Struthio camelus: one gene and its partner. The protein of the gene in region 2 binds, or shares a complex with, the protein of the main gene of each other region. Links are inferred from orthologs where the notes say so. Each region holds a gene or a part of one and is shown on either strand. Other genes may lie near its edges. The genes, in order: CD81 and ADGRG1.

Region 1 (15,435 bases), on a different chromosome or scaffold from region 2:
TATTTCAGAACTCCGTCTCATCTATTGAGCCTTTCTTTATGCTTTTTACTGCTCATTAATAGCCCACAGTGCTCTACGGAGGTGGGGACCAGAGACGAATAGAAGGTGGCCCAGTTCCCCAATTACTTATGCTGAATACCTCCCCTGTTGTGGGCTTGCCATGGGTGCGTAAACCCTTTGTCTCTAAACTGTAGGCACTCATCCATCCCTACCAAAGAAGCCAGAGGTTCACAAGGCTATTTAAGCATGTAACCGCTATCCCAAATTATCAGTACCATCCATCTGATTACAGCGACAGCATCCTGCGTGGCTCCCGCTAATCAGCCCGAAGGATAAACTGAGCTGGCAAGAGCAACAGAGCAGCAAGACACTGAAGTTGCTCCCTTGCTACATCACAGGATCCCACAAAGTCCTTTTTCTGCACAAATCAAACTCTGTCAAGAAAGGAGCCAGCATGGATTTGACAAAAGTATCTCTAGCGGCAAAGAAAGGAAGCAATCAGAGCAATTGCTTTGATGAGATATCCAACACGTTCTTCAAAACTAAGAAGGAGCTATGGGGGTATGGACTTAAATCATGGGCTATTCCTAAGACAACCCCTAGGCCAGATTTCCCAGCACATCCACTAGCAGTGAGCAAGAAGATAAATTACACAGAGAGACTAGCCTGATTAAGCCATCTGCATCACCTTCATCATTTCCAGCTATAAATATAAAACAAAAATACCCCCCAAACCACCGAGTTTGAAGATATGAGTTGACTAAACAAGGCCATTCACAGTGCAAAAGAGTTAAGTATGTATGGAAAAAAGATTCTTGAATCAGCTTTTGTGCATGAGACAGGTGACAACCCCAACTGCAATCACGGCCACAAAGTTTGCATTTAAACTGTTTCAAGGGAACTTAGACTTTGTTACTCTTCTTTTCCTCTCTCACTTTCTTCTCTCTCTTGTATAGGGAAATACAGCAAACTAGCAAACGTGAAATAAACCTTTCCATGCACTTTAAAAGATGTATTAATAAATAATTCAGTTTAGGGTTAACATAGACTAAGGAAAGATCCCATAAATAGTCCTGTGTTTAAGCCACGTGTTGCCCACGACTCCAGTAACAGATCTAGCTCCTAACAGCAGGGACACAGAGGAAGAGAAAGCAGCCCAGTCCCTTGATCACGTATGTCAATTAACTCCCCGATTATGGGCAAAAACATACTGGGTCTAAACTGCGTTCACATGTGTGGCCATACCAAAGTCCTCTCCAAAACTTGCAAGAAGAAAATGATTAAGCTTTGCGCATAATTTATGTTTTTTTTTTTTAAATAGCTCAGCAGGGTACATTTGAAAACTTTGACCTTAACGTACAGAAATAAAACATGGCACGGTGTCAAGATAACATATACTGTTTCCCACGATTACATGTGATTTCAGCTGTTGTATATTCCTGCCATGCTGCAATGCTTGCAGTACAGTGTATACAGTACCAAAAATGTATTTCAAAAACTCTTAGCAGCTTTATCAGCTCTTTCAAAACGCCTTCGTACAAATAAGAAACTAATTTGCACAAGTTCAGTTCATGCGTCTGTGTCACATGGTGTTAGCGGGTGTAAGTGCTATGAATAGGGTTGATGACTTCCTTTGGGACGACAGCAGCCCCTGCCCCTGCTCGCTGCGGTTCAAGCCTTCAGCAATACCCTACGCTAATGCATGCTCATCTACACTGAAGCCAGCTGCAGGCAGTTCAGAAAAATCTCTGAGAGAAACTACCCATCTACAAAGCCTCGCACCACTGAAAGACTGTGGGAAGCTTAAATCAGGGTCTAAAAAGTAAAACACAAGCAAATAACAACCAAAAACACCCAATCCAAGAGCAGCCATTTAAATTTGCTCTTGCAATTACTTTTTTAAACAGAGTAAAGCAGCAGAGACCAGAGATGTTTGCAGTGTTTTTCCTCTGGTCCGCTGTTATTTTTTATTTTATGCTGTTTATAAAAGCGAGTGTCGTGCTTGTGGGTTTTGGCATAGTTGACATCTATGGATATGACTCACCAGGGTCTGCTAAAACAAACATATAGCTGAACTATCTCCCAGTCCTGCTTTTCGAAAGCAAAGTCCCTTGCCACCAGGGCTCAGTGGCTTTGGGGTACCTGCTTTGCAGAGGGCAGATGCTCTCCAGCCCTTCCAGCAGCTCCAGGTTAAAAACAAAAAGAAAAACACAAAACCACCCAGGGAGGACAGGCCCGTTTCCTCTCCCTTCTCATGAGCATACTTGGAAAGTTGGCTATAAGGGTGTAAAGCCATTATCATCAAGCCTGGCTCTAAACGCGTAACACTGAGGACCTGCCCGGTGCCGCTGGGCAATTTGAGAGGCCAGAGGGAAGTGCCTCATCCGCCCGGGCTTACGGGATCCTAATTCAATGCAGAGCTACAGTTGCACGTTTTCATTTCACGTGGCAATCCCGCCGGTTAGCCTCCCTCTCTCCCATCCTCCTCCCGGCTAGCGCAGAAAATACCACCGCCAAACATCTGATTACAAAGCACCAGAATAAAATACCTGTTATTTTGCAGGTGAAATCCTAGCCAGTTTTTAATCACTGCATCTTACTTTCAGTGGAAAATATGAAAGAAAAAGCCTGGGTTTCCAATTTACCTATGACAATAAGAAGAACGACTGCACCATCAAAAATCAGTAAGCAGGACGTTCTGGAGGTGCATCAAGAGGGGTTGTACTGAAACACTTACAAATTCATCCTACAGGAGGCTGGTTGATCCAAATGACATACTAATTTCCTTGTCAGAGAACAACATGCAATATTGCTTTTCAAGGTACGGACCTGAACAAAGGGCCTTAGATTATTGCTAGGGACAAACTGCACGGCATGGACACCGGCCTACGTTAACGAGAAGGTAAAGCTACACGGCCTCAGGAGAGGCCACGCGTTTAATTATATTCTAGTGGTTCCAGGTAGCTTAAGGTCGCTGGCAAACAAGTAGCGTAGGGGGGAAAAAAAAGAAAATACAACAGCACCGAAGCTGCACAGACACGCAACAAAATTAAATTTGCAACAAACGGGCCAGCAAACAGGCAACGGTGCCGGCAGAAGACCGCAGCAGAGCGTGCCCAAAGGCCGGTGCCAGGCAGTAGGAGGCTTTGCAACCTGCAGAAGCAGTTTGCCCACGCTCCTCATGCCCGAAACACTGCCCCCCCTCCAAAAGCGACCCCCTCTCCGCGCCCGGCAGGACGGTGCCTGCTGCGGGCCCTCGCCTGACGGTCCACCGTGCTTCCTTAGGGGAGCTGGGCAGCGCCGCTACCTGTTGCGGAGGGCGTCCTGCCTTTTCCCTTTCCCCGTTCGCCTCTGTTTTAGGGTCAGGCACTGCTCTGATTTGTGCTGGCTCCCACAGTAGAAAAGCAAAAAAGTAAGGGGAGAGGAGACGATGTTTTTTCCCCTCCTCGCTTTCCTCCTCTCCCCAGTCCCAGCAGAGAGCGAGCACGTGCTGGGCGTCCCTGGGAAGCCTGAGAAACTGGTATACGCAGCAACGAAGAAACAGCCAAGAGAAAAGAAAAATCAAAACAGCCCTTGGCATTGCAGGTGGCGACCTGTCCAGCAACGCCACCTCGACGCTGTCCCAGATACCCCCCAAGCAGCCAGGCGGAGGTGAGGGTGGAGGAGCAGAGGCGTTGCTTACAGCAGGGGAAACAGAGGGCTGACGCAGGCAACGTTTCATACGCGTGTGCGTCGCTACCTCCTCAGCGAACGTTTCCATTTGAATTAAAAAAAAGTCTCATACACATATCTAAGGAAAAGATGCTTCCAAAATCTGCTTTCCACGCTCCGGAGGGAGCGGCTGGCGCCTTCGCTTCGGCAGGCGGGTTGGGACGTTCCCTTGCCCCAGTCTGCAAATTCAGCTGAAGCACCATCTTAGCACAGGGGCTCGTGGGTTTTTTGTCAGCCTTTTGGGGCGGGGGGACCGAGGCAAGCAGAAACCGGCAGCTGTGCCTGAAGTTTCTGTTTCTAATAAACTCAACCAACGGTTCCCGTCTGCGCAGCCTGTCTCCTTGCCATATTTAAATATTTATATTAACGTATCTATGGTGATGGATCGAGTTATATAATGAGGAGGAGGAGGGGAGAGAGGATGTTGAAGAGGAATAGCACCGGCTCCTCCTGAAGCCTCTGAAACAGGTAGGAAAACTGCCTTCAGAAGCAAAGGTTGGCTGCGAGGAAACCAGGGGACATCGGAGGATCAGAGGAAACTCCAGGGATTCCCAAGCCGGTTTCCGAGCCCAGGGCGGACACTCCCCTCCGGTGAACTCGGGCGCTTCTGCTTTCTAACCAGAAAGCCGACCTTCGTTTTTCTCAACGCATCGGAAAAGGCCGAGTTGTAGCTGGGGCGAGTTACGTTTTTGCCAGATGATTCATTCTTTGCTCTGCCGTGTGAAAGGAGCAGCCCAGCCCGCCAATAAGGCCACAGAGCTGCTGTTGTATAATCAATGTATAATTCATTAGTAGGTGAATGCAGATTAGAAGGGAATAGCTTATTGCTAACGTAACACACAACACGCGGCTAAAAAGAAAAAGAGCAGGTCCACAAGCAAGCTGGTGCACTTAGAGGTTAAACAAAGGCGCTCTTAGTTATGCTAAAGAGAGAGAGAGAGGGGGATTTTGCCTTGGAATAATGTGAATAACCTAAGGGAAGGTTAAAGCGAGAGTCAGCCCAGAGGCGGGGAAGGTGCCAGACAGACGATTTGCCGTTCCTAGTAGCAGGAGGGGCAGGATGCTAATCCCGTACGTAGCTATGAGGTTGTCAGTGCAAATATCAACCGCGCAGGTTTATTCCAGTTTGTTCAACGCAAAACACAGCTGGGCACAATCTCTGCCCAAGGAACTTACAACCACAATAAAGGGGCAACACAAAATATGCCGGCAGGGCAGGATCGCACCTTCCTTTCCCTCCTGTCCCTTTCAGGATTCCCAATATCGGGACCAATTTTCCATTAAGCGGGAGTCCTTCCGAAGGCTTTGCCGTTTCCACTAACGCGCTTGCTGCTCAAAGCGGCACGAGCACAACCAGATACCGGTAAAGGCACACAGCCACCCAGATATTGCTAAATCCTGGGAGTGTGAAGCTGGGATATTCTCCTTCCTAGCAAGGATGCAAGAAAGGACCTTTCCCTTTTGCTTGCCCGGCTCTAAGAGAACAGTGCCTTGAACACAAGAGGACATTAGTTGTAGGTGGTCACCTCTGCTTAGGGCTCTGCTTAGGGTATTTCTTCCAAGATGTACAAACTTGACGCGAGCTCAGCAACAACCCCGTATCTCTGCCATAGAAAGAGAAGGTCTTTTCCTCATGATAACCCTCCTGGTGGGGGTAGTTACGCAGATTCCCTCAGAGCATTAATTTACTCGACCGTCCCCGAGACCTTCAGGTGACTAAAGGCAGCCCAGAATTTAAACGTACGCCCGCATTGACACCACAAGGCTGGAAGCGGCCGTTCTTCCTTCTTAAACTAGGTATTTTTGAACGTTTCTGAGTTTCCTGGCCCAAGGTCTAACCTTGGCTCTGCAGAGCGCTCGTGGTCCCGGGCAGGGGACGAGCAGTCGACACGAGGGGGCTGCGCTCTTCCCCATGACGCTGGGAGAGCCCAGGCCAGCTGAGCTACCTCCAGGCTTTGTGCTGGGAGCGAAGGGGGGAAAGCGCGGCGGAGAGCGGAGCGACCCAGAACACAGTCGGGACTGGCCTCATCCGCTGGCCTGTAACTAGTCATGGGTTTGGCAGCTACTTCCTAAAGCTGTAAAACATGCAGTACGTGGATTTTTCCAAAACAGCCTCTGCCTCCAACATTCCTCGTCGGCTCCCCCTCCTTTCTCCTGCTCCTTCCCCTACCATCCTACCCGACGTAACATCTCTCAACGGACGAGGTTAATACTCACTACCCGTTGCTAATCCTCCCGGAAGAGGAGTCAGACATTAAAAACGAACAAACAAACAAAAGACTTTTCATCCTAGCGCATAGCGTTTTACTAAAAGAGACTAGCAACACCACCTCTTATTAAAGTCGGAGAGTGCTCGCGACAGGGCCGTGCTTTCAAAGTAGTTTTTTTACCTTGCGCATCTTCAGCGGCACAGGCTGAAGTTTCCTGTGTGGAACATCTACTTTGCGCTGAATTTCCAGAGGAAAGTTATAACAGGCTGGTTTTGAAAATATGTTGTTTCTGCACCTGGTTTAAGGGAAAAAAAAAAATCACAATCTGTCAATCTTTTCTTCAAAAAAAGATTTAAAATCTGTTTCCAAATTTACACAGTTTTAGCTGCACAGGAGATGGTTTCCTACAGACATGTAGCCAACAGGGCTGGAAAGAGGAAAACATTTTCAGCTCCAAGCCAGCTCAAGGGGAGGCTGAAAGCTCCCCGCTCTCCTTGCCACGGAGTTGTCCACAGGCTCAACAAATTGCTTGACCTGCGCTTTCCAGGGGTGCACCGAGCTCCTCGGGTCTTTCCAGTACCGGACTCGAGTCAGGGAAGTTGCAGAAGGGCCGCGTGCCCGCAGCTCCCGTGCGAGTCCGCCCCAGGAGCCCCGGCTCCCTCCACGCTCGCTCGGGGCAGACCGCGGCTCACAGCCCAAATGGCACTCGCCCAGGTGACCTCAGCAGAACTAATCGACCACTGTTGCAGCTTCGCTGACAATTCACTGGAGCCAATTCGCAACCCAACTTTGTTTGACTTTGCACCTTTGGCCTCCCCCGTGCCCCTCTTGCGGGTTTGCAGGTGTTTCCGAGCCCGGCTGCCAGCCTTGCGTTCCCACCGGGGAGGTCCATGCTTGCTTTCGGATGAAATCTATCTACTGGGGCTCTGTTTTTGCTACGCAGGAGCTCACGCGCAGGGAGTAGCGAAGTAAGGACTAGTGGGTGCAAAACACACCGGCTACAGAGCAGGCAATGATTTTTTTCATGTTGGCGCAGGTAGAAAAGTGCTGGACGTTTCCCAGCCACGTGACTTCTGTCACGGTATTGCTAGGCGGTGCCGTTTGGCAGCAGCAGCAGAGCCTGGGTGCTGTTTTTGGACCTGAACCTCCCCAACACTGCTGCAGCAATGCCTTCAGCTCCTCTGGCCAGGGCCACGTAGTGCTTTGAACGACAACATTTAAACACACTCCGTGCTTTTAATGAGTCCAAAGTCAAAATGCTATTTTATTAAAAATAATTAAAGTAACTGCTGTTTGGTCTCTGGCTGGTTTTAAAATGGCTTAGTCCATCCTCCTGAGCTCTCGGAGCGACTATATCTCTTGGGGCATGAAACACATAAGCATAGCATCACCACCTTCCTTAACTTCCTCCTTCATTTTTCCAGCACCGGTCACAGCATTAAGATTACAGCTGTTACGTGAGCAGCCAGTATCTAATACGTGATTTTTTTTTTAAAAAAAGAAAATTATAACGCTACGCTTTTCTGCGATAAGCTGCGAGCAAAATTTCTAGAAACACTTTGCCACCATCAAGCCTCGCCAGCTGACCCGTGCCGTCTGCTGCAACACCTCGCGTGGCTTGCTGCATGGTTTCGGGGGTGCCCCCACCTCAACCGACAAAGTCACATGTGTTTCAGTAGGGGAGAGGGCCCCCAAAGGGCCCTTTTTCTACTCACCAATCACTTTCCATGGCTGCAGTGGGAAATCCTGACCAGCGAGCTCAGAGGTGGCGGGTTCCCCAAACGCAGGCACACCAGCAGCAGCTACGACCATCTCGCGGCGAGCGTCTTTCCCTTGGGGAACCAGGCTAAACACAGCGTCCTGCTGAGCGCTACTCCGTCACGGGCTCATTAGAGATGCTTTTCCTTGCATAGGAGCTCCAGGGTATTCAGAAACACGTGAAACAGGAATAAAAACAATCATGAAACAGCTAGCACGTATGTACAGAGCATAGTGTCTTTAGTTTATACTGGATTGAATTATTTTTTTTAAACCAAAAAAAATTTGCACAAATTTAGGACAGGATTTCCCACCCACACCCCCAAATAAGTGCATTTAAAAAAAAAAATCAAAATCCCACAGACAGCTATCAGTGTCTTAGAAAGAAGGGAACTTCCAGCCACAGTGGGCAAAGCAAGTGCACATTTCCAGTCCGTTTCCCGCAGTAGGGAAGAAACGGCCGCGCTCCAGGCACGCCAGCCCCTCCGTGAATAGGGCTGGTACAAGTCACCTTCTCGACCTCGCTGCCTCTGCGGCAAAACACGCTGCACAGGTGTGAAACCTGCAGCTCTACATACAGACACGTGCATATATATCTTACAATAATATACATGTAAAAACGTGTGAGCATATTTGTATATATATACACAGACACATGGCAAGTGCTAGAACTTACCTGCTTTTTTTTTTTTAAAATGCAGTTCTGGTGGTTACAAATGACTCAAGGTAAAAGGGGGGGAAAAGAGGATTTGAGCCCTTCCCTGTTTCTTTATTATGTACAGGCTGCTCCTGTCCATACTCATCACTTTAAATTAAAATTTGGTGTGGGAAAGAGGAACACCTGTGGCTGTTGATCACAATGCTAAAGCTTTAACAAGGATATCTTTTCTCCTACTAGACTTTAGAGTTAATGAAGTTTAAAGCAGGTAACCCACACTGATCAAATACAGTCTATTATTTGCTGAATCTCCTTTTTCTTTTTTGTTTCGATATAGCAGAATTCATTAGTCCTCCAGCCACCACAGCGTGGTGGAAAAGGGGTGAATAAGACCTGAACATCCACTGTTTAAAAACTTAAACAAAAAAACCCCAAACCAAAAGCCTTTCTTCCAGTTTCCAAGCAAAACTTTAGAGATACCTTTTATATAAATACTCCACTCCTTATTTCATTGCTTAAGCGCGTCCTTAAGCTTTTTCCCCCCCCCGCCTCTGCTTGCATTATTCCTTGCGAGGGACAGGACTGCTCTCACATTAGCCAGTTGCTGTGATAAACAACAGCCTGAGAGCTACTCCAACTGGCAGGTTCCTCTTCCTCGGAGGGATCGACGCAGTCGTCCCCGTCCTCGCAGCGAAGGCATGCCTCTGCGACAGGCGCGTGCCAGCTGCGCGGGGAACATCTCTTCCCAGCACTGAGGGAATCACTGACAACTGCCCGTTACTCAAACGCCCGAGCAATCCAGACAGCCTCGTGCATTGCAGAAAAAGAGAAGGAACGACAGCCCTTTGCAAGAAATTCACTTTTATTGAAACCACCATGAGTCACATGAGCTGCCAGCTGGCTTGTGGAATAACAGCAGCATTAGCCTTGACAGTAACAGCTAGAGCTCACAGTGGAGACTGAGCATATCACTCTCCAGAGACAAAGATATAAGATATCTAACTGAATCTTTTCCTGCTGCTAGAAAGTGGGTATGTTTGCAAGGGCAGCTGCTAGGGTAAGCATATCACTAAATCCCTGCTAGACAGAGGCATGTTGGTGACTGCCAGGAGGTAGCCCGAGTAACACTTCTGAGCAGGTTGAACTTGATCCTGCTTCCAGCAAAGTCAGCGGTGAAACTCTGCTCGTTCCAAGGGGGCAGGATTAGGAGCGACAGTCCTTTCTCCCTTAATGCAGTTCTTCCCCATGCAAGATATTTGCAACCTTGGTGAAATACTAACCAGATTAGGGAAGGTACTGTAGGCTGTATTGCTGCTTTTACACGTGTAGCAGTCCACACCTGAGGGCCAGAAGTTGCCCTGAACATCAGCATTGGGGTTTCCTCATTTATTTCAAAAGAGGATTGCCCCCTTACTATTGTTCATGGGTAAAAGCTGCAATGAAGGAGAGCTTCCGAAAGCTGCTGTTACTTCAGCCACCATTTCACATACATTTAGTTCCCGTTTGAAAGCCCTGCTGTAAACTATGACTATTGCAACTATGGTTTTCAGTTCAGAAGTGGCTCTGCCTCTCTGCAAGAAGGGCAAAGCATGACAGGAAGCCATCAGATTAGCTAGACTGAGAAGCTAAGTCCTTCAGTTGATTGAGACTTTTCCAATTTCTATTTAAACTTATTATTGATAAAAAGATGTAATGAGGATGTGGAGTTGGACACTGTATTGCTAACCTGGCTGGAGATCAGTCCCATTCTCTTATACGTTTTAAGCACAAATCCTGTCCATGTGTGATATCAAAGTCCTTTTGTATTTCACAGCATGGTAGGTTAATGAAGATAAATATGGAACTAAGGCAGTAAGTTGAACAAACCAGTATAAAATTGATGCAACACCAAGCTCCAGGAGAGCTTTGATCCTAAGAATCAAAAATGATGGTGTATAGCATTAAAAAGGAGAAGTGATAGAAGGATACATCCGTATTCTGGTTGTATGTTTTAAAATTCATGCATTACTTTTTTTTTATTCTAACTTCTAGCAAGAGCTCCTTAAGTCTGGTAATATTTGAAATTAGGGAAGAAATTGGGGGGGGGGGGGGGAAAAAACACGTCAATGCCTAGATACTTATATATGATTAGAAACCTGCTCAGAGTCAATAATGAAGAGCGCCCAGGTTGGAGAACACATTTCCTATTAGCAGTGCCACACTTAGTGTAAACATACTTGCTGACAACAAAAGATAGGGCCTGGGCTACGATCCAAAGCTATCTTCCTAGAAACGTTCCGTCTTTTGGCGTCACGAGAAACTGACAATTGCTCAGATGAGAGTGCAAGAGAAGTCTGAATCAAGCAGCCTGGTTTAGGCTGTGATTTTGGCTTGCTAGGCTTTTTTCTTTTTTTTCCTCCTCAAGCAGCTGTTTGTGTCCCGATTTCCGAGCTACAACCTGTCCTTCCCACGCTCCCAGCGAGGCAACCTGCATCCCTGAGCCCAGGTGTGCGCGTCCCTCAGTCCTCATCCGTTTTCCGAGAAGACGTGGTACTGCTACTCCATAAAGCGTCATCCTGAGTGATCAGCTTGCAATGCACAGCAGCTAGTAGTGCTGGAAAGGGAAAAAGGCAACTTGAACAACGGCGACCCGTCCCGCCTCCTGTCCCCAAGCAGCACCTTCTCGGGTGATTTTGCAGACAACTTCAGGCAGCTTCCTATGCCAAGAGCTGGCTCTACCTAGTGGGAAAGTCAGGTCAACAAATTTCTACCTTTCTCGCAGGGTGTATTTGCCTTTTCGGTCCAGGTTGTTACTGAAGTGGATGGAGAACCAGAGGAATGAAGTCAGAATCATTCCATAAACCTAAAAGCAAATAAATGAGAGGGAAACAGTTAAATACTGAACTGATTATGATGCTTCAGCTGCTTGAAAAAAAGATAATAAATATTGCCTGTTAGTCCACTTGGCATTTCTGAACTTGTTATGTATGAAAATGTCACACTTTTGTTAGAAGAGCTGTTTTTCAACAAAATGGCGCACACCATAACTCCAGCATTACAGAAAGAAAAAGCATGCGGTTAAAGCATCTGATTAGAATTAGCACAGTACGGCTCAAACCCAGGCCTAAAAATACCAAAAATGAGAAGAAGCCAGGAAATTCAGATTTCAAATTCCTGCCGCAAAACATTCCTCTGTGCAAACAAACATATATCTTATAATAGCCTTTTGTAAACATAAAACGGAGGGAGGGGAATCTCATATATTGTTTGGGGCTACAAAGAAACATGCACGTGCACGATTCTGAAGCATCACCAAGACAGTACGCTTCCTTTGTATTGCAATATCCTGATTTGCTGACTGGTATATCACATTGCACAGCAGTGTCTGATGCCATATGGGAATTTACACAGGCAACTTATCAAAGGTAAGGCTGCTGCGGGAAGCGCGGTGAGGGCTGTAACGCCGCGCTCTTTTTAAAAGTTTGCCTTAATGTGAAAGTGCCTTTGAGTGCAGCATGATTTGGGCACATCTGTTAACGGCTCATTGTTAGCTGGAAGGACAGTGACATCAGAACAACCATACCAGTCATCACACGCTTCCTTCGCATCCTGCCATCACAATGGTAAATGTTTCGGTGAGATTTCCTCCAATGTGTACTTCAAAGACAGTCACGTTATCTGGCTATAGCATCAAGCTGTGAAAAAAATACGCTCCCACTTTTGTTTGAACACAGTGGAAGTGATATTTCTCCTATACCCAAGGAAAATTAGAAAGCAACACCAGATATTCATGGGTGACTTCGCATTATGCATCAGGTATGCCTCTAAGATTTTTCTGAGAAACAGCTCAGATGCATCTAAGTCTTTAGTATTGAGGCTTTATTGAATTTTAGTGTATGTACATAACTCTGTGTAAGTAGAAATATGCTAGATCAGACTACTACATATAGCATTGCCTCATAGTTTTCCTCATTTACTACTAGCAGTATAAAAGAAATACAAGTTTCCATTCATCCGAGTCTTCTCACCTATCTGAGCTCCATAGATCAGCCATGCTACTCTTATGCTATGTTTAAACACAGTGATTCCTCTGCAGATACCCACCTCTATCTTCAGACATAGCAACTCGAGAGGAGCAACTCAGACCCGTTATTCCTGCCAACATTTTCTAATGGGAACGGGATAAAAGACAAAGCGCTGTTTGGTGAAGGACTTAGCAGATGGGAATCATTGGCTCAAGGCTTTCCGTTGCTTTCACACAGCATTTATAGAGTTAGGACAACCTTTTGGGAGCATTAGCCTGCAGGATTAAGGGTAAAGCTACCACTCTTAGCTACCCTGCATGCTATGCCAAGATAGACAGAAGTAATTAGAAGGAAAAGAGACACCCTCTAAATACACATTTAGTCAGAAAAATTTGGCCCAGAGATACTACAGCAGGAAAAAAAACCCCTACCTTCACGTTTAAAACACAAGTCTCCTGGGTAGTATTCTTTTCTGGCATGTTTTACTACACACATAGGGCCCTTGTAGACAGGTAATTAAAATGTGATACACATCTGCCAAGTAGCAGGTAGACATAAAAAAAAAAAGGCGACTTGTTTTGAGTGTTGCTCTCCAGCTCTTGAACAAACTGCCCACATGGAGCTCTCTCGCTGACTTCTGCATTAAAGTAAATGCTCCTATTGCCCTTTCCACCCTCACTCCCCCCAGAAATAAGCAAATTCAGTAAAGAATGAGTGATTCCCTTTCTACCTGGGCTAGCCTCTGAAAATAACCCTCTGCAAGATCCTACATCAAAGGTATTGCCTGGGAGCCAAGACAACATGCTCTGCTCTTCCTTGTAGCCTGCTCCTTACAAGCCCATACTTCACCCACCAGCTGCCTAAGAGACATCTGTGCTGGGTTCGTTGACATTCATTAATAGGAAGGGACCTTTCCTTTCTGTGCAGCTCTCCACTGTTAGTGCTCATTAGCTTTCCAGGCCTTGGAGCTACTGCTGCGTGGAGAGGCTTCAGTCTTAGCTTGGAGGCAGCCTGTTTGCGTTAGGTAAGAGGAGGCACCGCGTTTCCTGGAAGCCTGGGCTTTTCTGCATCTCCTTTTCCACAATTGCTACTGACTTTTTATCTGATCCACAAGCATCTGTGTCAAGTGACACGGCCTCCCTTGCTTGCAGGACAAAACCCACATGAATGAAATTCAAATGCTGCTGCAACCCGCTCCCTTGCTGCTCTCCCTTCCCATCCGTCATGCCTAGTTTTGGCAGAAAGAGTCCAAAGAGTCTATTTCTGCAGAAAAATCCCTCCAGCTGCCACAAGACAGGCAATGACTTTTTCCTAATTTCCATGACCAAGTCCACCACTGTTTATTTCTCTGCCACTGAACTCCGTGCTCTGAAACCATCCGAGTCACACACCCAAATTCTAGGCTCCTGAGGCTAATTTAGCACATGACTCTCCTGCCTGCAGTCTGCCTCTCTGGGCTAGAAAAGCAAAGAATAAGCATAGCTACCATGAAACAGATGGTGACAGCCAGGAGCGCAGAGACAAAGTCCATGTGCTTCTTCAGGAAGTCCCGGATCTCTTGGAGGCAATCCTGAGATGAGAGAGACGCTCTGTGAGGGAACAGCAGCATCACGGGGAATTCATCCTCCACTGCCTGACTGTGCTTAATGTGACCTCAAGAAAAAAAAGCACTTTCAGGCCCCTAATCTCTCTCCAGAACTCTCTATCACAGAGACGACATTTGTTCGGAGGACAGAAAAGGGAGCGAGGTATTTTTCACTGTTGGTTGAGGAGCAAGGCAACAACAAGCAGCACCCTCCTCCGTATCATCCCCTGCGTCATGCGACTTTTGGTACCATGACATGGCTATGAAGTGGGACAGAAACAGAGGCAAGAGGGGTCTTGCAGAATTGGGCTGGTCCATTTGCAGACTGGAGGGACATCTTCACTCCTTTGCTCTGCAGCTTAGGAAGCTAAAAGTCTATAGTATATCTTCCATTGCTAAAATATGCCTTTTTTTTAGTATGGTGCATTTCAGACTGTGTTGAGGGCAGGAAGCACATGCACAGGTAAATATGCTCATGCACAAACATTTCTTCTAGTGGAAAATGGAAGGAGTGAAACAAAAACATGGAAGAGCAACACAATACGATGCAACATATGTTCTTCAAAGCTAGCTCAATTTTGCAGGTTGTTGTGAACATTAACGGGTATTAGTTTTAAGCTGCTAGCGGCCCCCCTGAAGTCCAGTGGGGCTTCCAAGACAAACATTAAGTCAAGAGAACCATTCAAAAATGTAAAAGTATGGCCTTGATCAAGCATTTTGCTGAGCTGGGTAAGAGCATTTGCGGCCCTACACCATGAATGCCAAAGAGTAAGTGTGTTGCAACCACCAAATCCTGTGGTTTCCCAGGCTGCAAAATGCATCTTCACATTTACCTCCCCCAGCTAGTAACTGGAGGAAGTTCAAACCATTAGAAGTAGTGAACCGAGTTACATGCACAGCAGCCAAGTTTGTTTTTCTCTTCCTTCCTGCTATTTGATCTGAATTCTACCCTGTTTCAATAATTTGTTTTCCAGGAGACAGTGTTTTGAAATGCTACCCTGCAGGCTGACATGTGCTTAAACATTAGCGCTTGACACCTTTGCATAACAAGGATGTTTTTGTATATCTGTAGCAACACGGTTTTGTTTTTCCTAGACTATACATGTTGAAGCCAGCAGCTTTAACTACTTCAATTCATTTAGCTACTCCAATGAAAGAGCCATATTCTGAGCAAATCTGTTGTATAAAGTCTACGTTATAACTTCAATGCAGAGAATACTGGTGGCTTCTCCGTCACTTTACTGGGATACTGCAAAAAAGAGGAATTAAATGCACTTGAAGCTACTGCTCGACATAATAATCCTTATTTATCAGTTTCTCTTTTTGCTTCAAGTACCTATTCAATACCCTTGGAAAAGGGGTTTCAATCATCATATACGCCTCCAGCATTTCACTGTTAGGGGAATACCTTTTTCAGTCTCAGAAATTAGTATCAAATGGAAAGTCCAGCAGGTTTTTGAGATCAGACACATGCCTGTGATATCACATAATCTCTGCACGTGCAGAAAG
Region 2 (14,885 bases):
CCCTTCCTTCATCAAAATAGCACCGAATTGCCTTTACCAGGGAAGAAGTAATGAGATGCGCTGTCAAGGGAGGTGTTCTTCTGGCCCTTGAAAATATAGGACGCGCTGAAGATAAAGCTGCTGTTCTTTTCAGTCTTCTGATTTTCTTTGCCCCAGATGATATTATCAGACAGGTCTTTTCCCAGGAGAAAGTTCTGCTTTCCATATGCAAGCTTGAGGGTCCTGTTGGGCTTGAACCAGTAGACACAGAAGCGGTACCTGCCTAAAGTCAAAGGCAAGCTGTACTTGTAATAAGAGTTTCTCTGGTTTGGCAAAAAGGGCCCTTTTATTATCAGTGCCTGGGCTGTGTTCTCAATGGAGATGTCGGCAGGGCTGTGCTCGTAGATGACAGAGCTGTTCTCAGTTTGGTTTCGTTCACCGCAGAAGCGGAAGTCCTCTTCTTGGCGGCTGCTCTCCTCCATCCCTGCATTGCACAAATGCCAGGAAACATTCACCTCAGCCTGAGGGCTCCGGGGTCAGGGACGGCCACCCCCCCGGCAAATCACCTGCTGCCACATCAGCCAGCAATCATGTGCGTTACGACTCAGCCACCCTGTTAGCCTAGGCTCTCCCTCAAACATGCGTGACCCCATCCTTGGCTGAAAGAGTGACTTAAGCCAGCTTCGTGAATTGCCCACAGTTACACTCGGAGGTTTCACTGGTGAGCCGAGGCTCCTTGATACGTAGGACCTCCCCTCTCTCTCTAGGCCCCAGCCTCTCCCATATGCAGATCCCCAGGGCTGGCAGAGTCCAATAAAGCAAAGGGGTTCTCCATCTCCATGGGGTCTCTAGAAAGGATCAGACCACTTCCAGGTCTCTGCCTTGGAGACCCCAATGGAGCAGGAGCAAGAGAGGAACTCAAGCTTTCAAACAAGGCCAGGAGACATTTCTAGAAACCATGTTGCAAATACCTCTAAGTACCCCTCAGCCCTCTCATTTTGGGGCTGCCAATTACTTCCAGCAGCCCAAATCTGGCCAGCCTGGGGCAGGACATGGCTTGAGGCAGCCTACCTGGGAGCAGGAAGAGAAGGAGCAGAAGGAAGAGTTGCATCATGGATGGCTCTCTCTGCTTTGGGTGCCTCCAAGGAGAAAGCGGCACCTAGAAGGTCGCAAAGAAAAGGAGCCACGTGAGTAATATGGGATGCCAGGAGCGTTGCCTGCAGCCGCAGTGCAGGGTCAGGGGACGGAGAGCAAAGCCTGGCTGCTACCCAAGTGAGAAAGCAGGAGCGTCTGGCTCTCCTTTAGGAGATAACCCTGGAAGGGGCTCCCTGGTGCCATTGCCATCAGGAGGAGCCATGGATACCAGGACACCCAGCACGGCTGGAAGGACTCCAGGCGCGAGAGAGGCAGGCAGCCCAGTCCTTGTGCCCTTAGCACAGAGATGGTGCCTCACTGCGCCCTGCATGCACCCCAGCCACTAACAATTCAGCGCAGGAAGGGATCCCTCTTCCTCTTGCTGCTTCAGCTCTCGGTTCATTTGCTGGCTTGTTATCACAGGCGATAGAAACAGAAGGAAACAGCAGTTTCCTACTTTGCCAGGCCTAGATTTATTCTCACTGGTGCTTTCAGCTCCTAGAGATTAGCTGAGGGGCTGGTCATGTTGCCAGCCACTTTGTGGCCAGCAAAAATGGCTGCACTGAGAGATAAATCCTGAGCAGCCAGGCCAGCAGAGATGAAGATGGAGCAAGGTCCAGAGGAATAACCCACTCTGGGTCCCCTGTTTGCAAAGTCAACCAACTGCTCCTGCAGCATAAAAGCACAGCTGCTGAGAACATGGCTCAGGCCAGCTCGGTTCACCTCGGACATTACCGCCTGCTGATCACTGCCAGGACTGGCCTGAACCGCAGGTGAAATGAGCTGCCTGGACACAAGTCCCAAGGAAGGGGGAGCCCTGTGCCTGCATTACGTGAACCGGATGGCCTGCGGGAATGGCCCCTTTGCAGCCTTTAAAAAAGAAAATAAAAAGCAACCTACACTATGCAGAACCGCAGCGCCTACCCAGAGCCACATGTCCTGCACCCTGTAGCCCAGGGCTACTGCTCCGTGCGGCATGTGACACCAGAGCACGGGGCTGACGGCTCCTTCACTCGTGCTTGTCCTCTGATGCAGCCCCGTCTCGCAGCAGGAGCCTCGGCGCCCACGGAGCAGCTCTTTCCCAGCTCAGCCTCACCCAGCTCTGACCACCTGGAGCGGATGGGGCTTTGCCCTCTTCTGAGGAAAGCAGCCTTCCTCCGCTCCCTGCTCACGGCCCAAAACCACGATCAGTCTCAGCGCAGCTTTTGCAGCGGCGTCCGTCTGAGTCAGCCCTGCCTCTGCCCGCAGCGCTGCGATGCTGGCCCTGTGTCCCTTGCGCATGGGGATGGGGAGCCAGGAAGAGGGGCAGAAGCTGTCCAAGCAGCGGATCTGAGAGCAGCGATCCCGGCTGCCAGCCAGGCTGCGGTCCTGGGCGCTCCTCCCCGCCACCCTGCTGGGCTCGTGCCGCAGCACCGGATCCCCTTGGACCAGCAGAAATTCTCTAACAAGCTTCTGCACTATGTTATTAAAGACACTAAGTCGCCAAAGGGTTGCAGGAAAGGTCTCAGGAATGGGAACCTAAGACAAAAGTAGTACGAGATGGGTTTAAACCAAATAAAATAAGGACTTCTGCATGCAGACAGGGAATTCCAGCAATCCCTGGAGGCGGTGGAGGCGAGGGCCAAAAAGGGACCAGGCACATTCATGGATAGCAGGTCCATAAACAGATCCGGAAAGGATGCACCCACGAACATTGCCCGTCCAGCAATGCTGGGCGTGGGGGAGTACGAGGGAAACGCTCGGCAGAAATCAGCCAGGCACATGTGGTCTCCCTAAATAGCATCCCCTAATGCCACTGGCGGTGACAGGGGACAGACCTGATGTTCATTCTTACGGCCAAAGTCATCCCAGCCATGCGGAAATCGGCTCTCCCGGGCTCTCCCTGCCCTGCCGTTAGTCCGCATGGCCTTGAATAAGCCCTTCTGCCCCAGCGCCACCCCACATCTTGCACGCAGGCTCAGTGATGCCAACACAGCAAGCGCAGCTGCCAAAACCCCCCTTCTGCCCCCAGCCTAGCTGCACCCGCCGCTGTGGGGCACTTGCACAGAGCCATGGTCTCCCCGCAGAGCAGCGGCGGCAGGCCGAGGGCTGCGGGGAGCAGAGCCACCCCGGCAGCGCTGCTCTGCCTGCCGCCCCAGGGAGCCAGAGCCGATGCCCCGAATTAACCACATCTGTCCGTCGCCCCTGGCAAGCTCCCCGGCACCCTTCTCTAACCGGCCTGGCAATGTCCTCTCAGTCTCTTCTTTTTTGCCTCACCTCTCTTTTCTCCATGATCCAGCCACCTCTCTCCACTCGTCTCCCCCTCTCTCACACAAGTCCCCCTTCTCCGAAGCTCCCAAACCGTGCAGGCACCTACAAAAGCACAGATGAAGTCTGTGACAAGCGGGTTCCTCCCACCCCTGCGTAAGAGGTGCAAAGCGGATGCCTGGAAGGGTCCGGGCACCAGGAGGGGACGGCACGGGAGGGGACGGCACGGGGTACCATGCACGTGCAGGTGCAGGAGCCGCTGGCTGCAGGGCAGCCCCAGGGAGCAGGAGGCTGTGGGGCAGAGTGGGCATAGGGGGACCTCAGTGACAAGGCCAGGCGCCTGGCTCCGCGGCGTCCTCACCGCACTAGCAAGGAGACGGGACCACCTGGGCGGGTGGTGTCGCTCCACCCCAGAACTTCACGCAGCGCTGGGAGCCCAAAGGCACTAAGGGACCCACACGTCCCAGCTAACCACGCGTTTCTTACCCTCAGGCCCTCCCATCTCACTTCACCCATCCCCAAGGCCACCGTGTCAACCACATCTCTGCCTCAGCTACGCCATCTGCCATCTCTAGAAACGTCTCGCCTTTTCCTTGCCATGCTTTCACCCTCCCTCGACACAGCAATAGCTGGTGGCCGAGTGGGGCTAGGCCACGGCCCGTGAGCCCCAGCATCAAGCCTGGCTGGTTAGCAACGCTTTGAAGAAAGCTGCCTGATGAGAAAAATCACTCGTGTTAGTCTTGACCACACCAGCACCCAGGAAAAAGCACTTTTTCACAAATCCTGGGTGGAAAGTCTTGACTGAAAACAGCCAACATCTGAAAAACTGAGTGGATCAGGACCTCAGCAGCAGCAAACAGTATAATGCAACCTGTGAGAGCCTCAAACTGAGCCTCCTGAGAGTGGAAAAGTATGACTCAAGGGCTGGATGGGCCGGCCAGGCTGAACAGGGCGCCCCTGCACCCCGCGATGCTTATTAATGCCCAAAGCCAAGCCAGCGCCTGGTCCTGCCGCCGCCGCCGGGGCTGCGTCCTGCTCCAGCATTGCTCTCAAAATCATCCCCGATGAACCTGTCCAGCTGGCGGAGGCTGATGAATTTGGTGCCTGTCAGGGCTGTTCCGCTCCCGGGGGCAGGAATCACTATTATCCATTTAAATAAAAGAATGGCAATCGTCTGGCAGCAAATGAGCATCGGGGAAGCTCGCAGCCAAGCAGGTTGGCCAGGCTCTGGCAAGCATTGCCTGCAAAGGCTTCATTTGCCGCACAGCTGAGAAATTTTTGCCCCACCAGCAGCGCGATTTCAGCAAAGAGGGAGGAACAACAGACGCACTGCATGCGAAAGACAAAGAAAAAAGCCTCATTTGTGATTGGGGAGCTTTCAAAGGCATCTGAGGCTTGTCGGTAGGGAAGACCAAGGGAAAACTGCTTGCTTGGAAACGCAGCATCCTTAGCTGGTTACTTGATGCCCTAGCAGCAAGGCTAAGGGAAGAGGGGTTTAGCTCCAGCCCATTTCTCCTAACGAAGGCTGGGAAATGCAGCAGCCCTCCTCGCCTGCTGCCATCGCGCTGTTTGCTCACGACCTCGATTAGTGTCAGTATTGTTCAAAAGCAGCTTACCACCGCCACAAGGTGAACTGCCTCGTCCTCGAGCTCCCCTGCTACAGCCGCCTTCGCGAGTGGAGGAGGAAGTTTCGCTGGCCAGCCAGCTCCGTGGCCACATCCTGCACCCACCCATTGCCTGCCAAAGCCAGTCAGTGGCAGCCCAGCCCTGGGCAGCCCCTGCTCCCGTCTGCTCCTGGGAGCAATTTGCCGCCCCTGGAAGATGGGGCCATGGGTTTGCAAACCCGCCTGCCACCACGGGAGCATGGAGGTAGGATGGCAAAATAAAGCTGGCTCTGTGCAAACAAACACGGCAGGGAAGGGGGTTAGGATCAGAAAGCAAACACACCCAGCCACATGGTTATGCTGTCTGCTAACCTGATCCGAAGGATGCCCTACAAGGAGATGCACAAGGGCTGATAACCACACAGTGAGCAACGGAAAACACCTGGGCTGCTTAAAAGCAACCCCCGCCAATGCAACACTGACATTAAAGCGGGGAGCAACAAGCCCGTGGATGCAAAACCCGGTGTATGGGCATGCACACACCACGGCGGAGAGCTGACGCGCTGGGGACACGAAGCACAGGGCCCTGAGGTGTGGGGTCGGCAGAGCTGCGCCTACCCGAGCTCGCCCAAGACCAGAAATCCCCATGGAGGGGCAGCTGGTATTTCCCCTCTGAACCAACTGGCCCTGCTCGCCCAGATGCAACGCAATGCTCCGTTGATTGCTGTTTCCTGAGCCAAACAATAGCTGAGATAAAATCCCCTGAAGTGGCTTTTCAATGGGACAACTCAGCTCCCAGCTGTGCCCACAAAAGGCAGGGCTGCAGCCCGCGGCAGTGGCTGGGGCTGCCCGGAGCTGGGTGCCCCGGGGGAGGCTGTGCCCCAGCCACCGCCATCCCCGTGGGGCTGTTACGTGCTGGGTCCTTGAGCGAGCACCCAGCACGGTTTGCTTCCCATCCGAGGGCACCCAGGGGGATGCCATGCTGCCGTACCCTGATTTTTCCCTATGCAGCTCCACGCGATGCCCAAGCAAGCCTGGCACCCTAACACTCCTCGGGAGCCTTCCTTGGGCCAGTCCATCCTCTGCCTCGCCTGCCCTGGGCTGGCTAGGGTCCCTGGCCCCTCTTTCGGGAGCTTTCTTAGAAATCTGCAGCCTCCTGTTTTTCAACAAATGCACTCCCCCATGCCAGCCCCTTCCACCCTGCTGGCCTCTCGGGCCACCGGCCCTACCTTGCATCCTTCCTGCTCTGGAGCAGAAAGGGCTTCCCGCGCCTTGCGCCCACTCCCGCCTCACTGGCCGCCGGCCGGCCGGGCTCCTCCGAGAACAATAGCGCCTGGAGGAGAAGTTCCTGCTTTGGCCCGCGTAAACCAGAGCGCAAGGAGGGCCCTGGGGGCACGAGCTGACCCGAGGGGCCGGGGATCAGCAGTGCGGCCCATCAAATCCGGCCCCTCGCGGTGGCTGCAAGGGGCTGTGTTTCCCCCGAGCCCCAGCTCCAGGAGGCAGGTGGTTACACAGCTTGCCAGCAAATAAATGTTCTGGCCTTTGGAAAAAAAGCCTAGGAATGTCAAACTATGTCCTCTAAACCTGGAGGGAAGTGGGGGCGGGGGAGGCAGTTTTTATTACTACTGAGAAATCTGATTGCTGTCTGGGTCACTTAGCGCCAGGTATTTGAACGCTGGGAGGTGGCATGTGGGCTTCTCATGTGATCTTTTTTCCAAGGAGAAGGGAAGATGTTCTCATATCTTAAACAAACACCGGAAACGCAGAGATCCCGGGGCTTTTCTCTCGCTTTCGCTTCAAGGCTTGTTAGGAAAATACGCCAGCGCTCTGTGCCTCGATTCTCCCATCTCCGAGACATTAGCAAGCACCTGGCTTTTCGCCCGCGGCTGTTATCAGGGGGAGCAGAGGCCAGACCTCAGGATGCGGATGGGGAAACCAAGGCAAAGAAAAGGCAGCGAGTTGGCCCAGGCCACAGCAGGCTGCTGGAGACGCCGTGCAGAAGAGCTTCACCCGACCGGCAACCACAGACACAAGCGCCCGCGAAGCGCTTTCGGGCCGGGGTTGAAGCTGCAAGAGGGAGCAGGCATCCCTCCGCCAGGAGGGGATGCTCAGGAGTGCCCCGGGCTCCGTCACCCACCCGTGCCCTCCCGCGCTGGCCTTCACAGGGTGCCTTTGTCCTTGGCTCGCGGTTACACGTCTGCAAGGAAGCCGTGCAAACAGGGGCCAGCCTGCACATTAGTCACCATATCGGTATTCGAGCCCTTCCCGTCACCGGTGGGCGTCAGGCACGCGCTCACCCTCCGCCTCGACCGCTGAGCTCTGGACCCTGGCGCGTTTGCAGACGCCCGCAGCATTGAACCGGTGGCTGTACTGAAAGGTCGGCGGTGCCAGGCGTCTGCCGCGGGCTGCAATGTGGTGTTTCGGTTGGCAGCCAGCTCAGGTTTGCCCCCGCATCCTGGCACGGGGCTCGGCTGGGGGCTGCACACAGCACTTCGCTTCAGCGGGCACAGGTTGAATTTTGCAGACAGGGCCGAAAAAAAATTAAAGACCTGATAAAAACTCCCACGGGTCCAGCCTAGGTTCTTTCCAGATCTTCTGTCCTTCATGGGCTGCTAGTAAACATCTCCGGAGAAAGACGTGAGGGAATCTCATCCGACAGCTGATGGGGAGGATGCCGGGGGAAGACGGCACAAATGGACGGCTGGTATCTGAGACTCTGGAGGCAGCAGCTTCACTTAAGGCTGTATCTCAAATCTTCAAAATTACAAAACCTCCATTTCCTAAAACACACCATGGCCACAAATACCTCAGCTAACTAAACCATCCAGTGCTACCTCGATTCTTCTGTAGCAAAAGGGGAACACAGGGCACCTCAACCAGCAGCATGCAAAGCCCGTGGCTTTGCCAAGGGCTATAAATGGTCTCCAAAGGGGCAGGTATGTTTGCAACGATTTCAGGCTTGCTGCAGTCTCAGAGGAGCAGCTTGCATCTCCCAAGTGCTGCACTATTGATGCAGGAGGGGTGGCAGGGCTGGGCCACAAGGCAAGTTATGTAAAGTTTGGGGGTTTCCGAATCCCATCTGTGAAATGGGAATCAGCTGGTTGGGGCTGGGGTTAAGACACGGGAGCTCCCCCAGCAACCTGCAAAGTGCGGCACTGCGGTACTGACCTTGGCCTATACGTGCAGTCGTTCTGCTAGGCCGCCACGTAGAGCGTGCACCCATTGCCCACCTTTGGCCCTGGTCACAACCAGCAGCTCCGAGCCAAAGGGCAACAAAGCTTTTCCCCGCTCTGGGATGAGTGGGTCCATTCGGCTACAACTGGATGGATCACGCAGCATCCCCCAACTTTTGGAGGAGAATGCCAAGAAGCAAGAAACCTCCCAGGGCTGCAGGTTGCCTAACACAAAACTGGAGGCATCTCCTCCCTGCCTCTTCTCAAAAACCTCCCACATTGCACAACACAGGTGTGCATAGTCCCTCCTGCAACCTTGAGATCAGGGCCCCGCTGGCATCCCACGGGCATGGGGAGACAGGGATACTCTTTGGGGGTCTTTGTGCCACAGACCAAAGCAAGGAGTTGCTTGAATGTGACTAAGACAGCCAGAGCTGCCTCTTTCCTTGAGGCACCAACACGGTCAAGGAAAACACTCTGTTCTCCTCCATCCTGGACAACCAGCAGCAGCTGCGAGTACAACAGATCTGCCAAGGGTTTCATCCAGCGGTGGCCCAGATCAGATCCATGCATGGGGCAGGTCCTCCTGGACATCTTCAGCCTACCCTTGGCCAGGTGCTGACTGCAATGGTGGGGTGGTCCAGGAAGGACATCCCAAATCGGTGTTTTCCAGCACTCACTGCCCTGGCCTGGCCTTTACAAGATGGGTCCCAGCCACAAGGTAGCACCCGTCGAAGCTGCCTGTGTCTGCTTCACGCTGGGCTGTTGTTGGAACCGCCATCCTTTGTCATGAGAAACCACTTGGCCTCCTCCTACGTGTCGGCTTGCACCTTCTCCCCATCCAAAACACCAATTTCTGCAGCTTCCAAAGCTTCCTATCCCAGATGGCTGTGAAGCAGTGGCGCAAACTGTCATCGCTGCTCTGCTTCCCATGGGATCATGCCATGCAGAGGAAAGGGGGGTTAATGTCAACCACCAGAGTGCTCAGCACGTTCATCCTACATCCCACACGTGGGCTGCAGGTCTGTGCCTGAGACTGTCAGGTGACAGCAGTCACCAGAGCAGGCATGATGGGACCAGCTAGAGACCTAGTTCCTCCTTACCTGCGCCAGATGCTGCCTGAATGTGCCATTCAGGTCTGGGGAGCTGTAGGTCACAGCAAAGTGAGGGTAGTTCCTCCAGGTCTCTTCCCCGTCTGCACGAAGCAGCTCTGCATCGCTTCCCAGTCTCGTGGGTGCCAGTGAAGGGAGATTTAGGGTAGTGCAAAGCAGAGCAGCCCAGAACTGCTCCGGATCGGGTGCCGAGGCTTTTCATTTTTGGCCCTGGAATCTTTGAGAATGGCAGCAAAACCGGAGCCTTGCAAGGTATACAGGGGCTAGGTTAAACCAGGCCTGCTGGGCTTTCCTCACTGCAGAAAGGTCAAGCACAACCAGAGGAAGGCTGCAGCGTCTCCGCAAAAGCAAAGCTCCTGGAGCAGCAAAACCTGCGCAGCACCAAGCAGCAAAGAGCTCGAGCTGGAGTAACCGGCCCCACCAGGGTTTTATGTGCCACATCTCCCTGGTCCTTCTGCAAGTTTCCTCCAGCTCCAGGACTTTTTACTAGCTTGAGGAGTACTTGCTGGAGGAGTCTGTCCGTGATTAATACCTCCATTAAATACTACCACCCAGGCTGGAGAGGGTCAGTGTGTGCCCTCGATGAATGCCCGCTCCTGCACATGCCTTGTCATCCCTGCTCCACGTTTCCCTCCTGTTGGGTTTGAGGAGCCAGGTAGGAGGCCCTGGGGGCCAAATCCCCTCCAGGTCCCTGCCAAATCGCAGCTGTTGGGGAGCTGATGGAAAAAGAGTTGGCGGGTCCAAGCCCTCCTGAAAAACAGGCACCAGCAAGCTGCGCTGCTGCCCAGCTGGTACCACATCAGCCACAGCCTGTGAAAGTTTCTGTCTCCCAGCCCAGTGGAGCCATGTCCCGCTGGCACTACCAAAAGGTGCAGGCACTGCCAGCCCCAGAGTCCCCCATCCCAGCAGCACACAGTTGCTTGCAAACCTGTTGCTCTGCGAATAACAGCCCCTGGCCTGCAGGATTAAGAGCTGGATGGCAATCAACTATGCAACATTTTTAGGCCTCGGTCTGATTCATGCGGGAGCTGCAAATGCCGTGGAGGCACAGCAAAACCTGCGGTGCCCAGGATCAGGACTGCACTTCAAGGATTGCTCAAGGCCCAGCCTCTCTCTCCCAGGCTCATTCTCCAAAACCGCCTCTGGGTGCCAGGTCCTGGTGGAGTTTGAAGCAGGGTACTGAAGGCCTCAGACCATGAAATGAGCTCTGGCTATGTTCCCTGCTCAACTGTGATTCAGACTTGCTGCCAAGGGGTTATTCCAGGAGACTTAATTCCAATTCTCTGGCTGGTCTCTCTGGGTTTCTGCTGGTCTCTCTGGCTTCAAGGGGGTAGTTCAGCCAGCTCAGAGATGGTGAGCGCTCTGAATCAGCTCTGAGCCCTGCAGACCCCGACGGTGTGCCAGAACTAGCAGAAGCAAATTGAAATTTTTCATGAGGCATCCCCCAGCAGGCACTTTTGGGGAGAGAAATCACCCTGTTGAGACACGTCAGTCAACCTGCAGGGACGCTGCGCCCTCTGCGAGGAAGGAAGAGCCAAGTGCACTGGTGGTTCCCTCAGGGCTGGTTGAGGTGGGAAGTGGTGGCCACACGCGCTGCGCTGTGGTGGGGTGCTTTGCAGTGCTCAGCTGTGCTCGAGGGAGCAGCCGGGAGCAGCTGGCCCTGGCAAGGCACAGGGGGGATTCACAACTTCCCAGCCTTGGAATTCAGCCTGGCTCCAGGGGCAGAGGAGACGGGTGCTGGGGCAGGCAAGCGAGAGCCCAATTTAGCAAGGAGACGAATGGCCTGTAGGGCCGGGCTAGCTGGCACACAGGAACAGAGGCTTCAACGCAGAAGTTGCACCTCAGACACGACTAGTGCAGTCCAATGGGGAGACCCCTCTCTGACTCTGCCAGGACACAGACGTGCCACACACCCAGCTCCGGTGCGCGATGGGAAATGTCCTGTCACAAGCCTGGACCACGGTACACCCCAAAGCCTCCCATCTGTCCCTGCTAGCACCCATTAGCTCTGTGCAGGCAGGCTGGACAGGGCTCTCTGCTCCCTGCCCACCATGCAACCGTCACCCCGGGGTGCTTCCCAGCGGCAACAGTCCCAGTGGGTGACGGATTCCCACGGTCGTGTTGGCCGTGGCTGCGGAGCGCCACTGCTCAGGCCCCTGGGGATACCGGCTGCCCAGCACTGCCCTCCCTGCTGCGGGAATCAGGGCCCCGCAGGGACAGTCGGGGACAGGCGTGCTCACCGCCAGCACCTGCACCCTCTGCAGACACATGCCGGCTCCCTGCCCACACCCCAAACGCACGGAGAGCCAGAGACCCCGCAGCACACCCTCCCTGTATTCCCAGGAAGGGGGTGTCAGAGAGCACCCCGCCTCCGTGGCCGCTGGGATCTCCGCAAGTAAGCGCACCTGATGCGCCCTGCAGCTGCCCCATCCCTCCCGCTCCCTGCCGAGCCCTCCTCTCTCCCGACGCCTCTCGCTGCCCCAGCGCTGCGGCTCCCCAGTCCCCCCAGCTTCCGACCCCCTCCCCGCTGTGCCCCATGCCTCGCAACACCCCATCGCTTCTGCTTCGCAGCCTCTCGCCAGCCTCCGGGCTCCCCAAACCTCTCCCAGCCCCAGCCCTCCGGCTCCGCCGGCCCCAGACCCCTTCCCCTCCGTGCCGCTCGCCGCGCCTCGGGTACCTGAGCCGGGGCCGGGCTGTGCCCGCTGCCCCGGGGCGGCGCGGAGCGGCGCGGAGCGGAGCCCTCGCACGCGGCGGACGGGAGCGACGCGGCTCGGAGCGGCTCGGAGCGGTGCGGCTCGGCTGCGCTTGGCTTGGAGCGGTTCGGGTCGGAGCGGTGCGGCTCGGCTCGGCGCGGCTCGGCTCAGACGGAGCGGTGCGGCTCGGCTGCGCTTGGCTCGGAGCGGCGCGGCGCGGGTCGGCTCGGACCGGACGGAGCGGCGCGGCTCGGCTCGGAGCGGCTCAGCTCGGACGGAGCGGTGCGGCTCAGCTCGGCTCAGCTCGGCTCGGCTCGGCTCGGCTCGGACGGTGCGGCGCGGCTCGGCGCGGACGGAGCGGTGCGGCGCGGCTCGGCTCGGCTCGGCGCGGCTCGGCGCGGACGGAGCGGCTCGACCCGCCCCCGTCCCCGCCGCTTTCCCCAACAGGCGGCGACGCAGCGGGGGGCCCCGCCCCCGCCCCCCCCGCCGCCGCCGCCGCCGCCGCCGCCGCCGCCGCCGCCCTCCAGCATCGCGGCCGGCGGTGCCCGTCCGCCCCGGCCCCAGCACCTGCCCGGCCCGGCCCGGCCCGGCCCGGCTCTGCTCAGCCCTATGCAGCGCGGCTCTATCCAGCCCTGCGCAGCCCAGCTCGGCTCGACTCGGCCCGGCCCGGCTCTGTCCAGCCCTACTGAGCCTGGCTTGGCCCAGCTCAGCTCTGCCCGGTCCCAGCGCTGCCGCCTCGGGGCTGGCAGGGCCCCGCTCTCCCGGGCCAGGCTGGGGATGGGGCTGGCCCAGGGTGCAGCGCAGAAGGGCTCTGCAGGTGCCAGGCTGCCTTACCCTGCCCTGCTGTCCTGGCTGGGGCTGGGGAGGGCACAGCCAGCCAGAACGGGGGCCAGGGAGCCGGCAGGGGCCATGACCGCAAGGGGAGCAGGTAACCGGAGGTGGCCCAGAACTCCAGGGTGCCCCAGGACTAGGGAAGGACGGGCTGAGGGCGAGGGCCAGCTCCAGGGTATTTCCAGTTCAGTTGATACGGCACAGGAGCCTGGCAAGTGTTCAGAGCAGGAAAGGAGTTGTTTGGTTGGCAAGCTGCACAGCCTGGCTGCAAAAAAGGCTTAAAAATAAGTTAATAGAAAAGAAGCCAGAACAGAGTGTCCCTGCAAACATTATCCTTATCCCGTGCAGGAAATGAAGGAGACAGAGCAGCAGGGCAAAGAGCAGCAACCTGCACCGCCAGGCTGGTTCGCTCATGGGCTGAACCACACAGCGGGCTGGGGACAGAGGGGTCCCGGTGCCTTCGCAGCACAAGGGGACAGCAAATCCCCGCTCCCTGCGCATCTGGAGGGGATGGGGCTGTTCCCTGGGACGTGGGAGCGGGGTCTGGAGCCTGGACAGAGCGCAACGGTCAGGGCGCGGGGGCTCCTCTGCCTTCCCATGCCCAGAGAGCTGGGGAATTTGCCCCTCACTCAGTGCCAGCGCAGGGCCCCCACAGCCCTCCCGCCTCCCAGCTGCCTTGCGCTGCGGGAGCTGAGGCTGGTAGCGCTGTGACAGTGATGAACTCTGGGAGAGCACAGGGAACAAAGCTGCTGCGGAGCAGCAGGAGAGCGCTGCCAATTTCCACCAAAACCAGCCTTTTGTGAGGGCTGAAAAGAAGCCGCCAGGAGGAAAAAAAAGGCTCCAAGGAGATGTGGAGGGGAGGAGAAGGGAGTTGGGAGGTTTCCAGGAAGTGCCCTAAGTAAATAGTTACACTTGCAGATATTTGCAATTGGTTGAATAGGGCTTTTCTTTCTCAAGGGGGAAGGGTGACAAACAACCTTCCGCAACTGCAGCCACCACAGCAAAGGTGATGGGTGCTCAAAGACAAAGGCCGCCACTGCGGGCGCAGGTGCCGATGGCTGGGGGGAGGCAGGGACGATGGATCCCACTGGCACAGGCGCCGTCCTTGTTGCCATCGCTCTGTTGCAGGCCCAGCAGGAAGCATCGCAAATCCCCTTCTATCTGCTCCCCGAGCGAGGCCGGGTGGTGTTTCCTAGCAGAGGTTGCCAGGATATGGGCTGCGAGGCCGAGGGCCATGCGGAGAGCAGAGATGGAGCCAGGCAACGATATGTCCTGGCGCAGATGAGCTGGGGGGAGATTAGCAGCCCGACGGCCTCAGCGGCATCCCTCCATCTCAGCAGCAGGTCTCTTGCCTGCGTAGTCTCAGCCCTCTCGCCTGCTCTCTGCATCGCAGGAAGCTCCTGCAGGGCCTCTTGTGCCTCTGTCTGCTTTGCCTGCAGATCCAAAGTTATTCCGACTTTGTTGCAGATCCGGAGGCCTGAGGTCAAAGCTGCCGTGAGCTTGAGGCCGCAGCCCCCAGGGGCCGTGGGGTCCCACGTTCAGGCCCGCCACTCGAGGTGGGCTGCCTCGCAGAAAGCCTCCCTCTCCCCTGGGCGCCGCCAGTGCCGGCAATGCGGCCCCGTGCCGGTTGGGCTCGGGAGGCAGCAGGGAGAAGGGCAACAACCGGGACTGAACATCTGTCCAGATGTGCTTGCAGGCAGAGGAAACTTCTCCCCCGTGAAAAACGAGCGGGGGGCCGGCTCCAATGCCGCCGGCAACGCTCCCGTTCCCACGGGAAGCGGGGGCTGCCCATCACCCTGAGCCTGCCGGCAGGGCTGGGCGCTCGCTGCCAGCTCGCGGCGAGCTCATGCGGCCGGTCACGCGGCCGGCTGATGAATGAGGCTCCCTTTGAAGAGCAGCATCCCACGCTGCCGGGACCCGGAGCCGAGCCCCCCAGCGTGCCGGGCTCCGGCGGCTCTGAAAGCAGCACGGCGCGTGCTCATCAGCAACCAGGGCCGCCGGGAGCCATGGCGCAGGCCCCGGCGAGCAGTGCCTGCCCTCAGCATCGCTGCCTCCCGCCAAGCCTTCAGCTGCGGTCATCGTGACCAGCTCGCTGCCCTTCTTTGGGAAACA

Evidence for each region.
Region 1: ADGRG1 (region 2) and CD81 share a complex: the UniProt entries of both Homo sapiens proteins name them as parts of the GPCR-tetraspanin complex. The link is inferred for Struthio camelus from reciprocal best matches to the Homo sapiens genes ADGRG1 and CD81.

What each region holds. Positions count from the first base shown.
Region 1 is NC_090946.1:18,544,681-18,560,115, reverse strand, and holds the start of CD81 (CD81 antigen), read right to left. Parts: upstream 7,792-15,435; 5' UTR 7,651-7,791; coding exon 7,637-7,650; intron 6,217-7,636; coding exon 6,102-6,216; intron 1-6,101. Other genes in the region: TSPAN32 (tetraspanin-32), read right to left, coding at 10,888-10,930, 11,088-11,179, 13,828-13,911. UniProt on the Homo sapiens protein: Structural component of specialized membrane microdomains known as tetraspanin-enriched microdomains (TERMs), which act as platforms for receptor clustering and signaling.
Region 2 is NC_090951.1:30,113,075-30,127,959, reverse strand, and holds the start of ADGRG1 (adhesion G-protein coupled receptor G1), read right to left. Parts: upstream 5,561-14,885; 5' UTR 5,226-5,560; coding exon 4,977-5,225; intron 3,466-4,976; exon of another isoform or gene 3,385-3,465; coding exon of another isoform or gene 3,370-3,384; intron 1,139-3,369; coding exon 1,051-1,138; intron 464-1,050; coding exon 38-463; intron 1-37. UniProt on the Homo sapiens protein: Adhesion G-protein coupled receptor (aGPCR) for steroid hormone 17alpha-hydroxypregnenolone (17-OH), which is involved in cell adhesion and cell-cell interactions.